Linked DNA regions of Arabidopsis thaliana. The protein of the gene in region 3 interacts with the protein of the main gene of each other region in a pairwise test. Each region holds a gene or a part of one and is shown on either strand. Other genes may lie near its edges.

The links. Proteins that work in one complex are often made in the same cells at the same time.
Region 1: the proteins of BZIP28 (region 3) and NF-YA4 interact in a protein complementation assay, tested with the Arabidopsis thaliana proteins (one study listed by BioGRID).
Region 2: the proteins of BZIP28 (region 3) and BZIP60 interact in a two-hybrid assay, tested with the Arabidopsis thaliana proteins (one study listed by BioGRID).

What each region holds. Positions count from the first base shown.
Region 1 is NC_003071.7:14,649,164-14,653,601, forward strand, and holds NF-YA4 (nuclear factor Y, subunit A4), read right to left. Parts: upstream 2,547-4,438; 5' UTR 2,401-2,546; intron 2,139-2,400; 5' UTR 2,093-2,138; coding exon 2,065-2,092; intron 1,973-2,064; coding exon 1,857-1,972; exon of another isoform or gene 1,511-1,856; coding exon of another isoform or gene 1,472-1,510; coding exon 1,388-1,471; intron 1,300-1,387; coding exon 1,135-1,299; intron 1,059-1,134; coding exon 855-1,058; 3' UTR 543-854; downstream 1-542. UniProt on the Arabidopsis thaliana protein: Stimulates the transcription of various genes by recognizing and binding to a CCAAT motif in promoters.
Region 2 is NC_003070.9:16,135,181-16,139,259, forward strand, and holds BZIP60 (basic region/leucine zipper motif 60), read right to left. Parts: upstream 2,284-4,079; 5' UTR 2,280-2,283; coding exon 1,843-2,279; intron 1,333-1,842; coding exon 882-1,332; 3' UTR 543-881; downstream 1-542. Other genes in the region: AT1G42980 (Actin-binding FH2 (formin homology 2) family protein), read left to right, coding at 4-61, 146-276. UniProt on the Arabidopsis thaliana protein: Transcription factor involved in the unfolded protein response (UPR). Acts during endoplasmic reticulum stress (ER) by activating unfolded protein response (UPR) target genes via direct binding to the UPR element (UPRE).
Region 3 is NC_003074.8:3,377,264-3,382,149, forward strand, and holds BZIP28 (Basic-leucine zipper (bZIP) transcription factor family protein), read left to right. Parts: upstream 1-1,904; 5' UTR 1,905-2,062; coding exon 2,063-3,638; intron 3,639-3,715; coding exon 3,716-4,167; 3' UTR 4,168-4,358; downstream 4,359-4,886. Other genes in the region: AT3G10790 (F-box associated ubiquitination effector family protein), read left to right, coding at 147-1,106; AT3G10810 (zinc finger (C3HC4-type RING finger) family protein), read right to left, coding at 4,585-4,658, 4,756-4,886.

The DNA of each region.
Region 1 (4,438 bases), on a different chromosome or scaffold from region 3:
CTGTCTGGGAGTGAAATGATTATGCTTAGTGGATAAAAAAAAGTGGTAAACTAAGATTATTCTACCTTCTTCCCAAAACGAATCCATTTGGTCGCAGAAATCAATGTTTCAAATTCTATCCCAACACATCTAACCAATATATCATCAATGGAATGGTGAAATATGGTCTCTTTGTGAATATAAGAAAAAGGCTAAGTTTATATGTGGTAAAGAAGATAATAATAAAATGGTGTAAACAGGTCTAAAGACTTGACAAAACTAAAACAGAGCTACAAGTCGAGAAAAGAAACAATACCTCGTATAAAAAGAGAATTGTGATTGTAAAATAATGTATGTCGTGTCATTCAAAATGTATCATCGGAAGAGCATATGGTCGGATATGCATGCAATGTGTTCATTAAAAATGAAAACGAGCCTAGTGATTGACCACATTATGAGATCGGAAGAATTCTTGTTTTACTTGTCTCCTAAATTACAACGTCAAATCCGATCCTGTAGAATGCATTTCATATATATAGAAGAATACCAATAAACAGTCTAGTCTAACAATGGACTAATCCACAGTGGTAGTTATCATCAGTGTTAGTTATCCTCAAAATCATAGCAAACAAAGCTAAGAACATTAATTTACTTTCCAAAACATGAGTTCATTGGCAAAGAATATCAATTTGGTACAACAATACTTCCAATCACACTTTTCATTTCTTTGCTTAGTTTTATTTCTAATCGCTAAAACAAAGTTTACCCTAGCAAATAACCTGTACACAGCGTATCCAAAAACACTAAAGACGATGATGCCCTGAGAACATCCACCCAAAATAGAAACTAAACTTGTGGTTGTGCAGAAACCTTCCTCAAGATCTACCATTAGGACCAGAAGTAGCCATAGCTAATTTCTCGGACCTGAGGCTGGAACTTGCTTCTGAAGTGTTCTCATCAGAGGTTGCCTCCTCCTCCTCCTTGTGGTCTCCATTTTCCTTCTTGGCATTGAGAAACCGGCCACCACATCCTCTTGGCCGTCTTATCGCATGTAAATGCCGAGATTCATGCATGTATGGCTGAAAACAAGAAATTACAACTTATTGGGAAGGATTCTACCAAACAAATTACAGCACTTGCCCGCCAGGATTTTACCTTTTTTGCTTTGATGGCTCTATTTCGTGCCTCAAGTTTTGCCCGGGATTGCCTGCGCCTGAGTATACCATGGTATTGCTTTGCGTTAACAAAAACAGGTTCCTCGACTGCATCACATTGCAATGGAACTCCTGGCTGCTGCATTCCCATTAACTGCAATTGGACCTGAAAAAAAAACTTTAAAAATAAAACAAAAGCTTTTCTAAATATTCCAAACCGGAGACGTTGGGGCTGAGTAATAAATAATACATACCCCAGGATAGGGATGTGGAAGATACGCTTGCTGTGCAAAGACGCTTCTGTAGTAAGGATCTGGATACGGGTATAATCCATGTGCCTTCAATACCAACACACACAAAAACAAAAACCGTATCATCTCAGGTTAAAAAGTTTAGCATTACTTGGAATCAACATTATCATTACACTGCATCTCAAGACTGATTTTCAAAGCAATCAAAGTTTACATTCGTACGAAGTCTAAAACTGCAGAAAGGCGATGATCCCGGGACTTTCTTGCTTGAATTATCTCAAACAACCAAGTTTTGGCATTGTAAGCATCAAAACAAAACTTTTAGCATTGAAAAAGAGAATCACAAGCAAACATATTATAACCGAGAGCAAGATCACACAGAAACTAAACCAAATATCATATAATCGAAATAAAGATCACTCATTGAATGTAGCCTGCACAAATAGTTGAGATTTTGGCTGAGAGAAATTACCATGGGCTCTGAGTAGACAGAGTTTGTATCAATAGATTCCGAACTTCGTCCTGAAGGAACCTGTGGTCGGGTTTGGGAATCTGGACGTTCTTTCTTCGCATGACTTTCATTGTTATCTGACCAGCAAAACATACCACCAAGAATCAGTTAGGAAGATACAACAATAAAACGAGAGCATAATGAAAATGGTCAGAAAGAGAGACAAAACCAGAGAGCTCATGTACTGAAGAAGTCATGATTCATGAGAAGACTGTCCTAGTTACAAGTCTGAGGAACAACAAACTGAAACAACAACAAAGCACAAAAGTCAGTACCAAAGCCAAGAGTTTGAGAATCGGAATTCACTAAACCAAAACCCCAAAATCAGAATTCAATCACAACCCTAGAATCTAAAGCAAACCCAGAACAGAGAAAAACCAATCTTAACCTCTACTATCACATCTCAACATACATAGCAAAAGCATTTTCCCGGAAACGAGTAGATACAGAACAACAAAAGCTAGAAACTTTCAAAATCTGGAGGGAAAGAAACATAAGAATTTACCTGAATTATATAAAATAGTAAGCTGATTCAATCAATCTCTGGATCTTACCCTCAGAAAATTGTTAAAGGTCTCTCCTTTTTTGTTCTAACTAAGGAAGAGACGAAATGACTAACAGAGGCCTAAACGGCTAGACCCAAGAGGGACACACCATGTCGTTTTTTCAGTTCATAGCCTCCGTCCTTCTCTAATATTCATTAACATCGTGCCGTTTTCATGTTTTCCACTCACACTGTAGTGATAGGTCAACTCAGAACCACGAAAATGTGTAGGAGTGGTAAACGACACGATGTGCAACAGTGAAAAGGAGGCTAATACAATGAGGACAAGTGTCGAAACAACGATCGAGATTGTAGGAAAAGACGGGCAGATCTGAAAAGCTGCCCGAATATGTTATCGATTGTTCAACTCCACTAGTTTTGCCTGACCCTACTTGTGCCCGTTGCCCTCAAATATATCTTTCGTTGTGAGTCATCAAAGAAGCGTCGGTATCGAAACCGAAGATTCCGTTCGCTTTTGGTTTTGTTCGAATTTCAGAGACATTAAACCAGCTTTGGTATTTAGATTGGTTTGACTTCGGTTCAGTGACAAAACAAAACCTACTTAAACGAACGAGTGATGAGTGACTTCAGAAAAAAACAGTACATGATTCCATAATAAGTAACTTATTATTTATAAGTTTCCTAAAAATTTTGCCCAAAAAAAAAAAAAGAAAAAAAAAACTTTCCTAAAAAAGTATTTGCTAATTGCTTTGACTCGAAAAATAATTGAAAACTATCACTTATGTGTAAAAGACCACCAAAAGTTGTAACGCCTTTGATCACTTATACGAGGTCACAGTATTCGACAAGTAACTATAGGTCAAAATCAAGTAAGTATGCATTCGACAAGTAAGAAACGTTTAACGTAAATGAAGTGAGTGAGCAGTCATTGAACAACAAATTAGCGTTTGGAAATGGACGAAAACTAACTAGTAAACATGATTAATACACAAGTAAATGAAGTGACTGAGCAGTCATTAAATAACCATGCTTACTTAATCACCTATACGATTATATAGTCTGCTTTCATCCCTAAACTCCTTATCATCATGATTCTTGATTCGACACCTCAAAGTCCTCAAGTGCATGTCAGCACGTATAAAGTTATAAATATAAAAAAAAAAAAAAAAAGTTATAAATATCAAGCATAATTTAGCACTGAGATTAAAAGAGCATTCCTAACAAAACCAAAGATTATAAGTTCATGATATTGGAAAAACCCAACACAAGTTCATGTAATTAGGTTAAGTAGATGAGCAAGTAGTCTCTTATATATAATCATGTAGTGAGAACAGTGAGACTAACGTAGAGAGTTGTCACTTAACTCCATAGTCTATCCCCTTCTTTGAAATCAAAACTAAAGTCATTCTATTCTTGGGGACAATCTAAATCTTTTCCCCTCATACTTTTGTTTTGTGCAATAAGCTTAATGAGGTCTCTTATTTTCAGTTTTAGATTTCTATGTTAGTTCATTTGAGCACAAATCTATCCTAGTTTGGTTTTTCCTACAAAGATCGCCTCAAAAGAACGATTTTAGTTAATAAGACTTAAACCCCAACCATCAAGATCAAACCGTCATAATCTAGTTTAATCCATGATACAAAAAAAAAAAAAAAATACCACTTACACAAAGTAAAAGCAAAAGAAAAAGATAGAGATGAGACCAAATTCATAAATTTGATAGAAAGATAAGGATGAGATTCTTTTATAATTGTGAAGATAAATATACTAATTTTTATCGAAGGGGTGTTCAAAAGTATATTGATTCAAATAGATTATAGAGAAAAATTAAGTAAAACTTAGATTTAGAAATACCTCTTGTTATAGTTGTCATATAAATCTTAAATTTAACATCAATCATATTGTCAAATCTAGCTTTATTACCAAAAATATATCTAGAATAGAAATACTAAAAAATTAAAATGTCATCCGAAATCTATAATTAATTAATCGAATGTCACAACCATATTAGTCATATAAACATTTTTCTTGTTCCAAG
Region 2 (4,079 bases), on a different chromosome or scaffold from region 3:
CAGGGAGGACTTGTAAATTCCTACATAGCTGAGTATCCAAGTGGTGTTCGCTTCAAGGAAGGTACCATCACATCTACTGTCTATTGTACTCATGTCTACATTTCGCGGTTCTCATTTCTACTCTGGCTATTCTCCCTATCTGCAGCGACCAACATCCTGACCCGTTTCGTGGAAACGTTCTACAAGTCTCGCGAGGAGATTGAAAGACAAGCCGAGGCTGAGAAGGAGATACTGGAGAAAAGAAAAATGAACATCAAACAAAATGGGAACCTCTAAAGAACCGTAGCTAGTTTCATCGACAACTTCTATGCTGCTTAGATGGAACTGCAAACTATCTATCATCTCTTCTCTAGTGCTTATGTACTAGAAAATATTTGAACTTTTTTACAATTCGAAGTTTTACCTTATCTTCATTGTTCTAATAAAACTATCTGTTCGTTTTTTTTTACCTGCCTACGCATCCGTACCAAACATTTTACAAACAAAAATCTCTGTGACAATCCCAAAGATTGGCTCGTCTGAACCCTAAATAATATCTGATGACAAAAAAAAAAAAAAAAAAAACTGTGATAATGTCAAATGAAGCAAACATGTAAAAACTAGCATGAGGAAAAGCTTTATCAATGTTAATCAACCTAATGAATTGTTATCTAGTAATTAGAAGTGATATTACCTGAAGTTATGCCTCAAAATCAACATTTTAAAGGCAGAAGCATTATTAGATAGATATCATCCATAACCATAAGACCCACATTCACTGTTAACTTATCGATATTAGACAGAAAACTTTCAACAGCGAAATACAAAACAAGAGAGAGAAAACTAAAAGACACTCATCTACAACTCAAAATGCGCAAAAGAAGCAGTTAAAAAAGGCGTTGTCACGCCGCAAGGGTTAAGATTTGGTATTTCATCCTAGGCCTCGAACCCTTACATCTCCGACTAACGCCGGTATAAGACGGTTTGCTACTACTCCCGAGCCCGTTTAGAACCAGCTTTTCTGGTTCTGGACGTAGGAGGCAACACTTTGTGTGGGACATATAAGGGAATAGGCAAATGAAGTTTACTCCCAGAAGCCAAAGCAGGGAACCCAACAGCAGGGATTCCAACAAGAGCACAGCAGACTCCTGCTTCGACATCATGGTAGTATTATTGCCATTACCCTTTTGCAAACAGTAACGTAGAGACTGGTTTTCAGCAACGAAGCACTCAAGCATACGTCCTAGTCTCAAGCATTCTCTTTCGAGATACTTACTCTTCTTCTCTAAATCTTGTACATATTCCTTCTTCCTCTCTCTCGATCTAACCGCCGCATCTCTATTTCTTACTCTCCTGAACCACAATCACATCCCAATTATCAAACCTCAGTTTCTTTTCATAGCATAAAAGGCTTTAACAATCTTAAGTTAACCAAAATACACATACCTATGTTTGAACATAATCAGCTCATGAATATTAACACAAGATTAACAATAATTAAAGGCAACCAAAATTTAAACAGTCATTTACTTAAATGATTAGTTCTCAATGTTGTTATCAAAACAATAACACACTTATAGCAATCTAAATGAAACAAAAATCAACATCACTCATAATCAATCAACTCTTCAACGTCACACATACATAAACATAATAACATGAACATATCACAAGATACGCAAGCAAAATTTAAACACTCGTTTCTCAAATCTTCACTGTTACACATACGTATCTCCTAGTTCTCAATGTTGTTCTCAAAGCATAACACACTTTTAACAATCTTAATGAAACCAAAATCAACACAAACATACAAAATCCATCCATAAACCCTAACTTTTCAAACAAGAGTAAAATTAGATATACCTTCTTCGTTTTTTAGCCACAGCATCATCGTCTCCTTCTTCGTCATCATCATCATGAATCTCGCTACCAGAATCATTAGACTTCTTCTCAACAACCAAATCCGAATTCTCCTTCCCGGAATCATCAGCGGCGGCGGGAGAATCGACGGTTAGAACTTTATCAGCCGCCAAATCAACGGAGCCAGAATCGCTAGTTGGATAATCAACGAGTAGATCCGCTATGAAATCTGAAACCGATTGCTGATCCAATTCCACAAAACTCTCCTCTTGATGATTCTCATCGTTCATCAATTGATTCTCGATTTCTCCGATCCATGAATCCGGTGAAGACTGAAGAAAATCCTCCGCCGGAAGAGAATCAATTACGATTGAAGGATCGAAATCGAAGAAGAAATCTTCATCTCCGAGTAAATCTATGCTTCCAAATTCCTCCGCCATGGTCAAAAAAAAAAAAATATACAAAGAAGAAAAAAAAAAGCGAATTTAATTTAAGAAATTGGAAGAGAGATGAGTTATATAGGAACTGTGTTTGAGACTTTTCTAAATTTCTTTGCGACCAAGTAAATGTGTAGAAAAAGAGTCAGCATGACACGTGTTGATTATGGACGCGTTTTTTGAATTTTTAGCCAATGATGTGATGGAGTGTACTGTGTTATAGTGTTTCTGTTAGCAGAGGATTATTGTTTTTATGTGCCGTCACACAACCAATGAGAAGGCTTCAAGCTGGAAGAATAGGATCACAGCCGAACACGTGTACTCAGTGAAGTGTTCGTGTGATTAATAACTCGGTTCTAATTCACTTCTTTTCTCTTGGTTTGATTTTCTTATTTTCGGTACAGTTATGTAAACCAGTTAGCTATAGTCAAAACGATGTACATGTAGTTGAGATGGACAATGAGACCAAGGAGAGCAAGGCTTCTTTGACCATTTCTCAGAAATCAATCAAAATTCTTCAGTCCCTTTTTCTCTTTGTCACCGTCAACATCTTCCACGATTGAATCTTTGTTCTCCGAGAGGACTTTTCTTCCTTCGTGACCATCTTCTAGACTTTGAAAGTTATCAATTTGTTAATTAAAATCATATATTATATTGTCAATTTATGTTACATTCTGGATTATCTTCCTTATTCAATTTTAAATGAGTGATTAATCTTCATTCAATCTCACATGAATGAATTTGTAAAATTTTCAGTTCTCTAGCAGATGAGTGAACTAATTATATATGTGAAAGTTGATCTACTATTTTCATATGAATGTCACGTTATTATTTAATTATTTTCTATGTGTTCATTCAATAATTAATGTAAGATTTACATTTATTATTAATTATTTATCTTTAATTGTATCAATTCTAAATTTATTTTTGTTATTATATGTATTTTAAAGAATAAATATATTTTACTATTTTCTTCATACTCATTTAAGGTTTATTTGCTAATGTTTTGTAGTCATAACTTAAAATAGGAATAGATATTACTATAGTGAATTAGCTAATGGTTTGGTAGCTTATTATCATTAATCTCTATCTAAATAATATAATACAGAGGATGAGGAGTATACAGAGATCCATCCTCAAATTCCTGATGTTTATATATTTCCAACATTAACATCTATTAAATTGTTTTACGATGAAAATTATTTCAAGATTGTGTGAATAATTACACTTTTTCAAAAAGTACTTAAAAAGTAGTTTAACATTAAAAGCAGTTGATGATTATATATTTTTCAATAAAATGTTAAATTATATTTTAAAAAAAGTAGATAAAGTGCAATTTCAATTAGAAACGAATAGAAGACAAGTTTTAAACACCAATAGAAATATTAAAAAGCTAGATGATGTTAGTTTTAACTTCTGGACAAAAACCAAATTTGGAGGTCGTATCTCTTGTCCCCAAGAAGTCTGATTGATGAGATTTGATTTTGGACTTGCTTATCAACCGAACTTGTCAATAATAGCATTAGTAATTATAATTTTAGTAACACATTATTTACATTAATTATAATTTTAGGACAATTGTATTAACCTGACTTGTGATCTAATGACGTGGTTCATAAAGTCACTTATCGAAAGTTAATAGTGTATATTTTCTATGATATAGTTCTTTTATAATGCTAATTAAATACCTATGAAGAAATATAAGGATTGCAAATTTTGTAATTAAACTAATAGAGAGGACTCTAACAAAGCTATTTAACTACGTAAAGCATATATTTCCTTTTGTATATTACTTTTTTGTTT
Region 3 (4,886 bases):
TATCTAATAAATCTCGTTTATCTAAACCTGTCCACACGTTGACAACGGTTTATCATCAAATCTCCAAACCTCTAAAAACATTGGGGGTTCGGAGTTAAAAAAAAAGCAAGAAAAAAGAGAGATAGTGAGCGTAAGTGAAAACAGCCATGGAAGAGGTAAAGGGGAAAAGAACCATCAGTAACACTTGGAAACTTGTTACAAGGTCCCAAACTGACCCCTTTGAAGGAATGCCTCTGCATCTGAAAGAGAAGATTCTCATGAAATTGAAGGCCAAAATCATATCGACGTTCATCCTCCTTTCCAAGTCCTGGTCATCGATAGTCCTTAACAAAGATTTCACCAACATGTATTTGATAATAAAGTTCTTTGAATCTTTGAATCGACCACGTCTTCTTTTGGCAGTCGACGATCGAGAAATAAATATGCAGTTCTTCCACTCTTGCTCTCGAGAGGATCCATCTTCTGATCATCAAACGGTTGGCTGTTACCCTGATTCGTATCCGCGTATCTGGTATGACTTTTCTCCACCTGTTCGTGGCTTGATCTGCTGTCTAAACAATTCTACTAAAGTGGTAATTGGAAATCCTACTACTTGTCAATTTGAAACTTTACCGAGAGTCAGAACCAAAATATACCAAGAAATATTTCCCTTCTTTGGATACGATCATGTTAAGGATGAATACAAAGTCTTGTGCATGACGATATCGGATGAGTACTATAGTAGATCAGGAAATATTGTGTCCAAGGAGCATAAAGTTTTCACTCTAGGATGTAAACAGAAGAAATGGAGAATGATCGAATGTACGATTAATCATTATCTTACTCCTGGAACTCAAGGAATATTTAGCAATGGGGTTATCTATTACTTCGCTAGGGTCAATGATGATCAGTCGCTAATGTGCTTTGTTGTGGGGTCTGAAAAGTTTAGTGTCGTTGAGTTACCGAGGCCGGCCGTCGAAGTTCTAGCGAACTACGGCGAAAAGATAGCTGTAACGAATTTGTTATATGCTAGTAATGATAGACTTTTTGTATGGATTCTAGAAGATGCCAGCAAACAAGAATGGTCAAACTTTTGTGTCTTGGTTCCTTCTTGGGTAGATATATAGATTTCGACCATTCAGCTTCACGGGTATACTTGGAACCGGCGAGCTTATATTTACACCGGGCTTAAAGCGTGGCCCCTTCTATTTACTGTGTTACGATCTCAAGGAACACACAGCTAGAAAAATCTGCTTCAAAAGAATTGGTTATTATACTTCTTTGAAAGTCTTTTTGGATCATGTAGAGAATCCTATGGTTCTGCCAAAGATAAGGCAATCGGTTGGTGATGAGTTCTTTGGTGTTGCATGAACTAATCTCTCTTCTTTCTTTTCTTATTTTTCAAGTTTCAATTAAGTGGTCGGATATTATTTGTTTAAGACTAGTTCTTATTGGATTTGATGGTCACCCATTGGTTAGTCTTTTGATCAATGGATATTTATGTCTGTGGAATATTGTAATGCAATGTTTTTTTTCTCAACATCTTTGGAATGCAATGTTTATGACTTAACAAGAAAAATGTTTATGACTTGATTATAATAATCTCTGGTTTTGTGCGGAGCTTATACAGCTTCGGTTTTCTTCTTATTTGATTTCTTTTGGGGAGAACAAAGAGTTTTGTGTTTGGCTAGATGGATCTTTATCATCATTTTGGTCGCCTTTTGAATTTTATTTCATAAAGAAATCTTATGTATAAGAAAATAAAACTAATATCGATTCTGAAATAGCAAAAATACCTCAATATTTTCACTAAATCATAAAACGAACTACATTCATCATACAACACATTGTAACATTTCACCATTAATTTCTTAACCCAAGCAACAAGCCAATAAGTAGATAGTTTTTGTTTGACTAAACATACACACGTGTTCGGAGTTTGATGTACACGCGCTGACTGCGCGTGGATGTAATATAATCTTAATTCTTAAGTATATTCGTCGACGTTGCCTTGTTCCAAAGTTATAAACCGTGTGGAACCATCGAGAAGCGAAGCCAGAATAAATTTTCGAATCCTCCGACGATGACGGAATCAACATCCGTGGTTGCTCCTCCGCCGGAGATACCTAATCTGAACCCTAGCATGTTTTCTGAGTCCGATTTGTTTTCTATTCCGCCGCTAGATCCTCTTTTCCTATCTGATTCTGATCCGATTTCAATGGATGCGCCAATCTCCGATCTCGACTTCTTACTCGACGATGAGAACGGAGATTTCGCTGATTTTGATTTCTCGTTTGATAATTCTGATGATTTCTTCGATTTCGATTTATCGGAGCCCGCGGTGGTGATCCCTGAGGAGATCGGTAACAATCGTTCGAATTTGGACTCATCGGAAAACAGAAGCGGCGATGGAGGTTTAGAAGGAAGATCTGAGTCTGTTCATTCACAGGTTTCATCTCAAGGCTCCAAGACTTTTGTGTCCGACACCGTTGACGCATCATCCTCCCCTGAATCAAGCAATCACCAGAAATCTTCTGTTAGCAAGAGGAAGAAGGAAAATGGAGACTCCAGTGGCGAATTAAGGAGCTGCAAGTACCAAAAGTCCGATGATAAATCAGTCGCTACGAACAACGAAGGTGATGATGACGACGACAAGAGGAAGTTGATAAGGCAGATTAGGAACCGTGAAAGTGCTCAGCTTTCGAGGTTGAGGAAGAAGCAACAAACTGAGGAGCTTGAAAGAAAAGTGAAGAGTATGAATGCTACCATTGCTGAATTGAATGGTAAGATTGCTTATGTTATGGCTGAGAATGTCGCTTTAAGGCAACAAATGGCTGTTGCTTCTGGTGCTCCTCCTATGAATCCTTATATGGCTGCCCCGCCTTTACCGTATCAATGGATGCCGTATCCGCCGTATCCTGTTAGGGGATATGGATCACAGACACCTTTGGTTCCCATTCCTAAGTTAAATCCTAAGCCTGTCTCGAGTTGTAGACCGAAGAAGGCAGAGAGTAAGAAGAATGAGGGTAAAAGTAAGCTCAAGAAGGTTGCTAGTATTAGTTTTATTGGAATTCTCTTCTTTGTCTTCTTGTTTGGTACATTGGTTCCTTTTATGAATGTAAATTTTGGAGGAGAACGTGGAAGCTTTGGCGGTTTGTCTAAATATGATGGCCACCGGTATTACGATGAACATAAGGGGAGGGTTTTAATGGTCGGCGATGGTTCTGATGTTAGAAGAAATAGTGGAATTTCTGAAGGAAATATCCATTCTAGTAGGATTAGTCATGGTGAGAGAGATAGTTGTGGAGGAGTAGATTATAATGCTCATCCGAAAGTAGAAGGACGACCAAGTTCGTTGAGCAATGCCAGTGATCCTCTCTTTGCTTCTCTCTATGTCCCAAGAAACGATGGGCTTGTGAAGATCGATGGGAACTTGATAATTCACTCTGTTTTGGCGAGCGAGAAAGCAAGGGGTTTAGGAAAGAAGAATATCACTGAAACAGTAAAAACTAAAGAACCGGATTTGACCATTCCTGGTGCACTGTCTTCTGCATTAGCTGTTCCGGGGGTAAGAGGAAATGCAGCAATGCTTCCGCATTCAACAGCTCTCTCTTCTGAAGGGAAAAGACTTCACCAATGGTTTCATGAAGGTGGCTCAGGTAATTCTTGTTCTCTATGTAGTTTCTACTAAATGGAGTGATCTGGATTTTCAACTCTACATTGCATTCTCTTGCAGGGCCACTAATGGATTACAGCATGTGCACCGAGGTTTTCCAGTTTGATATTGCTCCTGGTGCTATAGTCCCGTCATCAGTCTCCAGCATTTCTGCGGAGCATCTCCAAAATGTCACTACCCACGGCAAGAGAATGAAGAACAGGAGAATCCTTGAGGGACTTCCTGTTTCACTTGTGGCGTCAGAGCTCAATATCACCGGAACCCAGCCAAACAAAGACGCTCAAAATAAGACCTTTAATGGAAACACTAACAAACCCACATCATCATCCTCCATGGTTGTCTCAGTGTTACTTGATCCAAGAGAGGTCGTTGACTCTGAAACCGACAGAGTGGTTCCCCCAAACCCAAAATCACTTTCCCGGATCTTTGTGGTGGTGCTTCTTGACAGTGTCAAGTACGTTACCTACTCATGCGTTCTTCCTCGATCGGGTCTCCATCTCGTAGCCACCTGATTTGAGCTACTCAGATCTTGACCTTAAGTAGGCGAACATTGACTTGTTTATACATACAGACCTTGTTGACTTTTTTTCCCTGTGTTGTATAACTCTTATGTTCTAAGGTTTTGGATTTTAATTTTGAGATAAGCATAAAGTGGAATCCTTGTTTTAAAGGCATTTCCAATAGCTTTAGGCTGTATAATACATCCGATGGTTGCAGAACTTTTCTAATTTAGAAGATATAATATACAAAAGAAGCTCTTAGAGCATATATATTCAATTGGGACTTAAGTAGAAGGCTGCACCCTTTTGTGCAGCATCATTCTATAACAACTCTTCCGGTTCTGTATCTAGTTTCCATATGAATTCATTTTATACATTTAAAAGTTTTGAGTACTCTGTCGATACAGTTTACTAGACATGTTAATGTCGTTATTCATGAAGCCAGGCCACTATCAGCATGAGAAGGACAATCCATGGCATAGCTGGTAAAACCTCAATCGCTGCTGCCAAACACAGAAAGAAGAAGGCATTTGATTAGAATTGGGAGTCTATGATTTGATATATCTTTGCTAAATTGGAAGACTTTAAGTAGCAACTTACATGAAGAGGACTGCGGTTGAGGATGAGCAACTTCGTTTGCATGTGGTTCCCGTGGTTCCGTTATGGGTGGTTGAGCTGCATGGGCAAACACCACATGTGGTAGAGGGGCAGAGATTGGAACTATATGAGAC